Drosophila melanogaster: one gene and its partner. The protein of the gene in region 1 purifies or fractionates together with the protein of each later gene. This does not show direct contact. Each region holds a gene or a part of one and is shown on either strand. Other genes may lie near its edges.

Evidence for each region. The genes of interacting proteins can lie anywhere in the genome.
Region 2: the proteins of SNF4Agamma (region 1) and Clk purify together in Drosophila melanogaster (affinity purification with western blotting; one study listed by BioGRID). This does not show direct contact.

Annotation. Positions count from the first base shown.
Region 1 is NT_033777.3:21,154,587-21,159,548, reverse strand, and holds the start of SNF4Agamma (SNF4/AMP-activated protein kinase gamma subunit), read right to left. Parts: upstream 3,188-4,962; 5' UTR 3,138-3,187; intron 2,112-3,137; exon of another isoform or gene 2,053-2,111; 5' UTR 1,892-2,052; intron 312-1,891; exon of another isoform or gene 160-311; coding exon of another isoform or gene 1-159. Other genes in the region: cDIP (common Dpr-interacting protein), read left to right, coding at 1-159.
Region 2 is NT_037436.4:7,772,489-7,777,563, forward strand, and holds the start of Clk (clock), read right to left. Parts: upstream 3,116-5,075; 5' UTR 3,008-3,115; intron 1-3,007. UniProt on the Drosophila melanogaster protein: Circadian regulator that acts as a transcription factor and generates a rhythmic output with a period of about 24 hours. Oscillates in antiphase to the cycling observed for period (PER) and timeless (TIM).

The DNA of each region.
Region 1 (4,962 bases):
GAGGTGGACAAACTGCGCGATGAACTGAAAGCAGTGGTGCAGCACTTTGATTCCAAGTTCGATTTGATATTCAGTAAACTGGCCCAATTGAATGAACAAATTCAGGCCTTTGAAGTGCTCAACAAAACTGTTTGGAGTCAAGTGACCTTGTCCGTTTGAAGTTGTTAAATATGGCCCATTTTTTATGTGATCACTACATTTTCAAAGCTTTACAATTATATGTATACATTATAATTAATATTTGAAGTATTTCCTAAAGCTTCTTAATTTTAAACATAAAATCTTTCGATCCAATAAATAAATCATTTTTTAAATTGTTGGAAGAATTCCACTAAAGAATTCGCGTGTATGTTTTTTTTACCAGTTCTTGATAATATACAAAGTTGGAACCATAATCTAACAAAACAGGAAGGCTTTTCGTCTTTGTTTAAGATTTAGTTTCCTAGAATATCATTTTTTTCTACGCCTATTCAATTCCTAATCTCGAAAACAATTTCTGCTCCATTTCCCTGCTGATTTTGCATACTCAACCCCAAAAAACCAATACAATTTGCAACATGAGCACATCTAGTAAATATTTATTGCTCGCTGTGTCGTATACGTAGAATAATATTTAAACAATAATATTGATTTTCGAGCAAAGCAAAGTTGGGTTCTTTTTCTGAAAGATATTGAAAGAGGTTCGTTCAACTCGGGCTGGCGAACCAAAATGGAAAAACGAGAAGAAAACTGGAGGGCGAAGACAAGATGGTGGGGCTCGGGGAACTTGAGTTGAATTGAACAAAGTCAAGTCAATTACAAAACCAATATTTTCGGAAACTAAACAACAATATTGAATTCGATCGAATGGACCAGAAACCGAGTTATTTTATTGCCATCTGCTAATGCGAACAGTTTTAATTATTTATGCTTTATCCCTTCTATTCGCTTACTCGCACATTTATGGCTAACTAATTGCTAAGATAAACAAACAGTTTCGATTTCAGTGCAGCCACTTCGTAAGGACGGAAAGTAGAAACAAATCCAATTTCACGGATCTCGACGATCACTGGTCGATCTGCTGATCCGGAGTATCGTGTGCATGTGATTAGGAATAAATCCATACATACATATGTATATCCATTCGAACACGAGTTTCAAATACGTTTTGTTTACATTGGCAGTGCAATTTTTGTTTTAAGGTAATTGGCGGCACACAAATCGTGGCAGCTGTAAGTGCGAACATTCAATTTTACCATATAGTGCGACTGACTATCTGCGACTTCTAGTAGTTGTATCCGCAGATCAAAGTTCGACATTTCCTGATTGCCAACTTCAGTAGCTATCTTTTTTTAATTTCTGGGCATTCGCTTGAAGTGTGCTTACTTAATTAGTCAATGTCTAAAATGTAGTAGGCATCGTGATAGGGTACTTTTACATTTAAAGAAATCCACTCACGATTTTATAACCATAACTTCAAATGAGTTTCGACAAAAAAAAGTCGTATGAAGAATTCAGGTAAGACCCTTTGAATTGTTTTATGTTATTATATTTTACATTGCCTGATTTAATACTGTTATTCCTGTTATTGATACTGTTATACACTATCTATTACATAATTGATCGCTTTTATTAAATGTTTTCTAAATATAAAAAAATTTAATAAAATTGTTTACACATTCTGAAAATCTAATTATGAAAAAATTTTGGGCGATTTTGGGTATTTTCCCAGCGTCGCCGCGAACTGGGGGAATTTCCCACCCACTCAACTTAGTCACCGACACAAAAGGCAGATGAAAAGTTTCGGGGAAAATCAAACGTCAAGCGCTCATATCAACACAAAAAGAAAATAAAGGCAGTGAAGTAAATCAGGTTTTCGATAATTATAAAAAGAAAATAAATTGTCACCCACCTTTTGTGTGTTTTTATCAGTAATTGGATGTTTCTGATTCGCGCTGGCAGATTGCAGAATCACAATTGTCGAATTTCGGTTAAAAAATTAATTTCACGGACACAGGAACGCATACACACATCCGCACATTCACGTACACACTAACACACATTCACGTTCACCTGAACGGGTGGAAAACAAAACTTTTGTAAACAATTTCGCGATTAGGCATTTAGCTGCGCTAAGAAATTATTGTAAATAAGAAGAGACGTAACGAATTAGCTGGTTGTGTTGGCGCATTATATGTTATATATATGTTATGAGTGTATATTCAGAGATTAGAGCGAAATTATAATGACGACTTTTCGCTGGATGTCCAAACACTTTCGAGGTGTTGACTTTTCAGATTAGATTACAGCACTCATTTCACTCGGCTAATTATCAGCCATTTGGTTCAACACCAAATAAATCACAAAACACGAAAACACCAGCAACAACAACCGAATCGATCTTAATAAAAGCAAAGAATGCGAGCCATAAAAATCAAGAATCAAAATGAAAATTTATTCGGGCGCGCGCTTCCACTTTGGACTCGACTTTCCAATTGGAACACGCAGTGATCGGACAATGGAAGGGGTGAGAAGAAGAAGAGGAGCAGCAGGACGTTGTTGTGTTTGCCACTTTTTATTAAGAATCTAAACCATTACTGCGCGAAACACAGCTAGAAACTGACACAAGGAACAAAAACAGAAGAATAGCAAATCTGGGCAAATAAAAGTATTTGTCCGTGGAAAATTTCCAAAACGTTTCTGTCGCTCTTTCCAGCGACGCCATGTGTTTGTTTGTATGCGTAACAGCTGATCGCCGATTATTGATTTTTTATAGGGATGTACATATGCACACATGTGTGTGTATGCATGGGCAGGAAAAGTGATTAGAGGCTATTGTTTTGTGTAACAAGAAAGAAGTTTCACAATTCACTTGCGCACTCAAAAGAACAAAGATCGATTGTCCGTTGTTGCCGTTGTTGTCACTGCAATTTCTGCAATCCATTCGCGCACAATTAAAAGCTGTTCACGCAGCTTATCACAGAAGAATTTTATGGCTAAGCCACCCACTGGCGCGGACATGCTATCCTGACACCATGCCGGAATTTTCTCTCAATTAAATTATTTATTATAAATTAGTAAGAATTTAAGAACATTTAATTTGCTTTGTTTTTCACTGCACTCCCGTTTTTTAACGCGAATTAAAAGTTTTTCCCAACCTCGTAATCCGCTGCGTTTTCACCAAGCAAAGTTCGCAACCTAACTCACGATTGTGGTCATCGTTATCGTTTGCGAAATCCAGCAGAAAAGGTCTTACTCTTCGCCTATCGTTATCGCTAGAGATCTTTTTACAATCCAGTTGGAATTAGCGTGACCACAACTGTAACGTTGTTTTAGTATTTTTCTATAACTCGTTGTTTGCAATTTTACTGAAATATGTGCATTTAAATAGTAAATTCTTAAGTGCCCACTCGCGTAAGTAAATACGCACATATATCTACTTATTTATTCAATAAACAAGAATCATTGAGAATTCTTTAGTTGCGTAGAAGTTATTTTAAATAAAATGCGCTTTGCTACTTTCCGGCGGCGGTCACACTTAAAAAACAACGCGTTGCCAGATCGGACCGTGTTCGCAATAGCAATCAGTTTTTGTCATGCACCGCCGCTTTAGGCGCCAAAATGATATAAGTTTGAATTGCAAAAATTGCTCCGCTCTGTAAATCACGCCGAACATACAAAATAGAAAACATTTTAGCTATAAAAAAAACTTTAGCTTTTATAAAAAAAGCTATAAAAGCTATAAAAAAAACTTTAGCTAGCTTTAGCTAAAAAAAATTAAACTTATGTACATAAGCATATTCCTATTTCCATCATAGTGCTGGAAATTAGATTTTATGCCCCATAAATAATCATAACCAGTTGCCTTGGCATGCCTTTCACACTTTCGGAGCCCACCCAAACTCTTTGAAACTTCAGCTAAGCCAACAAAAATCAATAAAAATGGCGCATTGCACAGAGGCCACCGAGGAGCACACAATGACGCCACCAGAAACAGCAAAATACTTGAAATCGGAGTCGATGAATTTGCCACCATTCACGAACTTCATTTAGACCATTCCAAATAGGTCCAAGGACGCAATAAATACATTTGAAGTACTCTCGAAAATAAGTTTCCTCGATGCTCAGGGTTTTTTGCTAGCTCGATCAATCAATCCCAGCCGAGGAACTGGGAACACTCACCTGCTCGATGTCGAAGTCCCATTCGGGCGATGGAGAACGCGCTGTTCGGCCGCCCGGCGGAGGCGTTCCCAATGCGGGGGAACCGGCTTGGGGCTCTTCGGGAATCACGGCGAAGCGACCCCGCTGGAGGATTGGCGAAATGGCGCCATAATTAGCTGCAAAGGCGAAAGAAGGGGTCAGTATTCAGCACCATGCATTTATTATCGAGAATTTGACCAAAAGATATCAATTACTATTAGCATAACTGTAATGATTAATGTCGTATACTTTATATAAACTCAAATTGTAAAGGCGAAAAAGTACCAAATCAACTTACACGTGGGCATGAGACGAAAGCGGCCGAGCGTCGTTTCGGGCGGGCCCTGTGGCGTGGAGGAGGTGACACGGAAGCGTCCTCGGCGGGCGGCGGCCACGTCCTCGTAGTTGCTGCCCCCCGACGCTCCGCCGGCACTGCTCTGCATCCTGTGGCTGATGCTTCCTTGTCGGCCTCGCCGAAAACTGCAATGGAGTGTGAGAAAAATCAAATCAATATTGCGCACAGGTGGCAAAGTTCTTGTTTCCTTTGACTAAAACAACTGAAACTCAATTAAGCCAATGGCATTAGAGTATATTGATCTTTGATGGAACTATATAAAACATTTTCCGTAAATTCTCTAATATAAAAAACTTAGCAAAACTTAGATATAAAGACGCTTTTATGAACACTAAAATTAACCAATCAAAACAATTAAAACAAATGGTCATTGATTTATATATCTTGCATTATACATACCTAATTTTATATAGACTTTACTTGAACGA
Region 2 (5,075 bases), on another chromosome or scaffold:
CTGTCTCTGGATTTCTTTGTCAGTGAACTTGAGCTTTTGCTTGGCAATGCTAATTGCATTGCGATTACAACATAGTGCCCGTGTGTGAGTGATAATACCCAATACTCATACGACCCGTTGTACAACTTTGCTTCCTCGCCTTCTATTTCTCTTTCCGCAAAACTTGTAATACTTTTCGTCGCGCTCTAGCGTTTGTTGTCTTAAACTTGACTTAATTAAATTGTTCACTATTATTTTATTTTTACCTCTAGTCATTCATTGATTTATTTCGTCGGCGTTCGTTCCCCCTTATTTTACCGAGACGGGATTTAATTACAATCTACCAATTCCGAGTTCATCGTTAATAGTGTTCAAGGGGTATACTTCTATGTGGTTTTCCAGCATGGAGTTGTTGTTCTATAAACAGAACCCTAAACGGATCTTGGATTTTCCTTTCCCTAAACGTTTAACAATCTAATAATAAATTGACGTATCTGAATCATTAGCAGTCTGCTTAAAATCATCAGTTCATCACATAAATCGATCTTTATAATGATTTAATATGTTTAGATTGAAATTGAATAATATTTTCGTTAAGGGGGAAATTTTAAATGAATTCTATTTAGTATCGATTAAATTCCGACTAATTAAAAACTAACTTGATTTCATTTAAGTGGACAAAAACTCACTATACCATTACAAAATTCATTAGGTTAAACTTATTCAGTCCAAAGTTTTGCTCTCTTTAGGTTATTCCTTTTGATATAAATGAAGGGTGTCTAACTTTTAGTCATTAGAAATTTAAGTGCATTTTTCTATAAGTTCTTTTAATTAAAAAACGACCCAGAGGCTTTCCTTAAGTTTTCGTTCTTTGTTTCCAACTACCTCAATATTGTTAAAAAAAAAAAAAAATAGATCTGGAGTAGTTGTCAATCAGTTGCTTATCTCACCGTATCAACAACTAGCCATATTTGCTCTAAGTGAAAATGAAGTATACGCTCTGCAAGCCAGAGCGAAAATGGCCAGAAAGTGCAGCTGACTGCAGATTAAATTAAGTAGCGTTTCGTAATTGTGCCCCATTTATTCGACTAAATGCAAAAACAAGAATCGAAGTTGTATCACTTGTAATGTTTAAAACCTTTTTGCATGTGCCTATAGTTTTTTTAGTTGTCAATTGAAATAAGTTTTACTGAGAGCGTGTGCGACTACCGCATGATCGCACACCACTGCACAAATGCACACGCGTACTCACACCATTGCAGCAGAACACACGCACACAGATAGACTGGCGCACACAGATACTCGGGGCAGTCAAACGCTGACGATGACGTTTCAAAAACTCAAAAAGACGCCACATCCGAGACCTGAGACTTGTCAGCCAACAATAAAAAAAACAAAAAAAAAAAAATTTAAATAAAACAAATGGAAATAGTTGGATTGCAAAGCGACTAGCAAATTACCTAGCTAGTTTCAGCCACTGGAAATTCTTGTAATTAAGCAAAACTTACAAACAATATTATTTATCTTGAATTCACCGGAATGAAAATAGTGTACTGCGTAAAATATCCAATCAATCTTGCTGAATGAAACTAAAACCAATATCTAAAAATATTTTTTAATTTTTATATTTATTTTAATATTGGGTACGAAATCCAACTTTTAGAGTAAACAAACGACACAACTCCATTCAAAATTCGAATAAAGAGTACATTATTAAAATACCTTTCCAAATCTAAAGACATTTTAAAAAAATTATAGTTTTTATTATATGTATGTGGAAAAATCGCTCTCACAGGTAGTTTGTTTTCAATTTTTTTTTGGTTGAATGCACTTTTGTTTTAAGCGAGAAGTATCTTCACTCGTATTCGCTCGTATCTCATCCTTGGGTTTGCCTTATCTTTTTTGGCGCGGCATTTTTCTTCTGTTATTTTTGTCACTGCGGATGTTCTACCTAATGCACTTTTGCTTTTATTATTTTTATTTTTTTCCTCCACTTTTGCTTTGCACACTTCACAATTTTGCCGCAGCTGATTTGTAATTTAATCTTTTGAATCTGGCGCAAAACTTTGGTAATTAGCAGGTAAAGTAGTTAATTTACTTCGAAATTGAATCTTAGCTACATTAGTTTGGATGCACTTGTTCAATTAAATAAAACTTTACTACTTTAGTATTTAACTAAGATCAATTTTTAACTTGTGAAAACTTGTATTTGTGTTTTATTGCAACATCACTGACATATAACTACACTTTTTTATTTGGCTTTTTAAAAACGCCCATTATTATTTAAACTATTTATTTTTATCCATATATTGCCTTTGGCGGCTTATCCACTTTTGTTTTTTCCTCTGCCTTTCACTTTGTTTCTTCAAGAATTATTCCACATTTGTTCCTGTTTTTATGGCACGAGTGTTTTAAAAGTTACATAATAACTTTTCCCGTTCTGCTTTGCGCGTTTTTTTTTTTATACTTCTGCACTTGGTGACATATATACGCCAATATATAGAAAACGATATCCAATAACAAAAACACTTTAATTTCTTTTATGGTAAAAGGTAAAACAAAAAACTTTTTTGGCAATATCAGCAGAAACAAGGAAGAAAGCTGCAATTTAATTAAGCGCAAAGACGGAGACAAACAAAAATATTATTCCCCTTCAAATCCGAAACAGAACCGAAAAGGCGAAAAGTGTGTAATATGCGATCGAGTTACAGGCAGAGACAATATCAACGGCAGACGGCTTGACTTTGCTTCAGATCGGCCAAGTACTTGCGATATAAAACAATAACTGCGCGCTCAAAAAAAAAACCCGGAGAAAATGCGAATAAATCGAAAACCCGAATCGGAAAATTAAAGAGAGAGATCCGCTCGTTGACGCTGCGCTTGCTGGACTCAAACTGAATAAATGCACGAGAATTGCAAGTTCTAAGCTGGCGAAAATAAAAACTACAAACGCAAAAAGCCCGTGGATAAACGAAAAACCGCGAAATGCATCGAAATGTGAGCAGCGAGTCCCCAGAAGCGTTCTCACCGATACAAAGATACGAAACCGAATCGGTCGGGAGAGTCAGTCGGTCTACAAGTCTGTTGTAATGCCTTTTGCCGGCCGGGGCGTATACGCGATATGTGCAAGCATTCCCAGCTCTACCTGACTGACTGACTGATTGAGCACCGCCACTCGGCTATTATTTAATATGCTCTCCACACTCAGAATCCGCCATATCACTCAATTGCACCGATCGTGAACCTGAGTTGAGTCTTTATCTATCGCTCTATCAAACTATCAGCACGCTCAGAGCCACTCTGCTCAGAGGGTCTCTCTCGGATCGGATAGTATAGCTTTTCTATATAGTTTTCTTTCAACCTTTCTGTTTGTTGTCCAATATTCCGCGTGTTTCTGGCATTCCGTCTGGAGATTACAGATATAAGGGTCTCTCGGGGGTCTCGCAGGGGTGATTCAACGGGTTTTGTTTGTCCGCGACTTAAGTTCAAGGTCTGTGGCAGGGGTGAGTTTTTGACTATAGGTCGGCATAGACTGAAACTAGGTAGGTGGTGCAACATACCCTAACTATCTTTTGATCTATCTATACTGCTTCATGTCTATAAACTTACATTAACAGATCATATGTGCATTTCATGCAACGTGAGGCGAACTGAAATATAATTTGAAATAATAAGAGAAGTTAAACATAATTTAAAGTTAAAACTAAACAAACTGTTTTAATATTTAATCATTTAATTTAATGTAAACTTTTACTAATTAAATTGTCTTATAGTATGGAAAGTGATAAAAGAACTTCCAAACTGTCATTTCAGCTTTTGTTAATCCACACAAATAATTTCCAAAGCACTACGGCATTAGCTTTTTAATGCAAACTCATATTTCAATAAATATTTCATATATAAAGTAGTTTTAGTATGAATTCAATAGTGAACCACGACCCTTACCTTTGATTCCTTTGTCGTATTTTATCTTCAAAATCAATTCAATTGGAATTCAGCTCCGAATCTAGCACTACGACCTCACTTTCTGCAAAGGTAGCACAGAAAACTAATAATTCTGATTCTTATTCCATGATTGCCTAATCGCGAACCGCTTGCACCAGAAATTCGATATTTATTAGATGCTTACGTAACATTTCAGCACTCGATTTGCAATTTACAAGATTTTCTCGATTTGATTTGAAAGTTTTATAGGTTTATGCAACGCACAGGATGTATATATGTAGCTATTCAGCAATGCAGAGGTGTAGTCAGAACTACTTTGTTGTCAAACTGAAACTCAATAGTTTTTTTTATCAACCACTTTTATAAGTTAAAAGAAAAACCATAGTTATGTTCCACATTTATTTTATATTTTAATTGTTTTCCTCTTTATTTTACATCATTATTAAATTAAGAAGTACCAGTAAAAAAAATTTAGCACAAAAAACACAGAGAAAATATGTTGTTGATTTGATCTTAAGAATTTTAGAAATATTATAAATTTTTTTTTGTTTCATATAGAATTATGTAATAATTTCTTCATATAAAGTAGACACAAAAATAATGTCAAATTTTGGGATTGTATTGTATTTAGTGTCTAAACGTAAATACACGATGATTTAATTTAGACGTTCGTGTATATTTTGTATAAAATTACATAAATATTTTGTTGACAAAAAATGTTGATTTATTTATTTATTTTGTGTTGAGCTGAAAATTAAATTCGTGTTCTATAACTAGCGTAGAAAATGTACATATAATTTATGGATTATCCGTAAAAAGATATTTACAAAGACAAAGATGTGCCGACTGATAAAGCAAATTTTTGTTTTTAAAATTGATTTGCTTTATAGGGAGAGTTTGAACGATTAAAAAGAATAAACAAAATGAGTATGCGGCTTAGAAGTAGAAGAAATCAAAGACAAAGATGTTTTAGCTAATGTTACAAAGATATATCAAAGCTATCTCTTCAATAGGAATGCGGGCTGAAGATACAGATACGAATACAGAAATAAGCATTTAGCGTATAGCACTTTATATATAGGTTCATATAGGTGAGCATATCATTTAGTTAGCCTAAGCATAATCAAGAGAGAGTAGGGGTGTTATAGAGA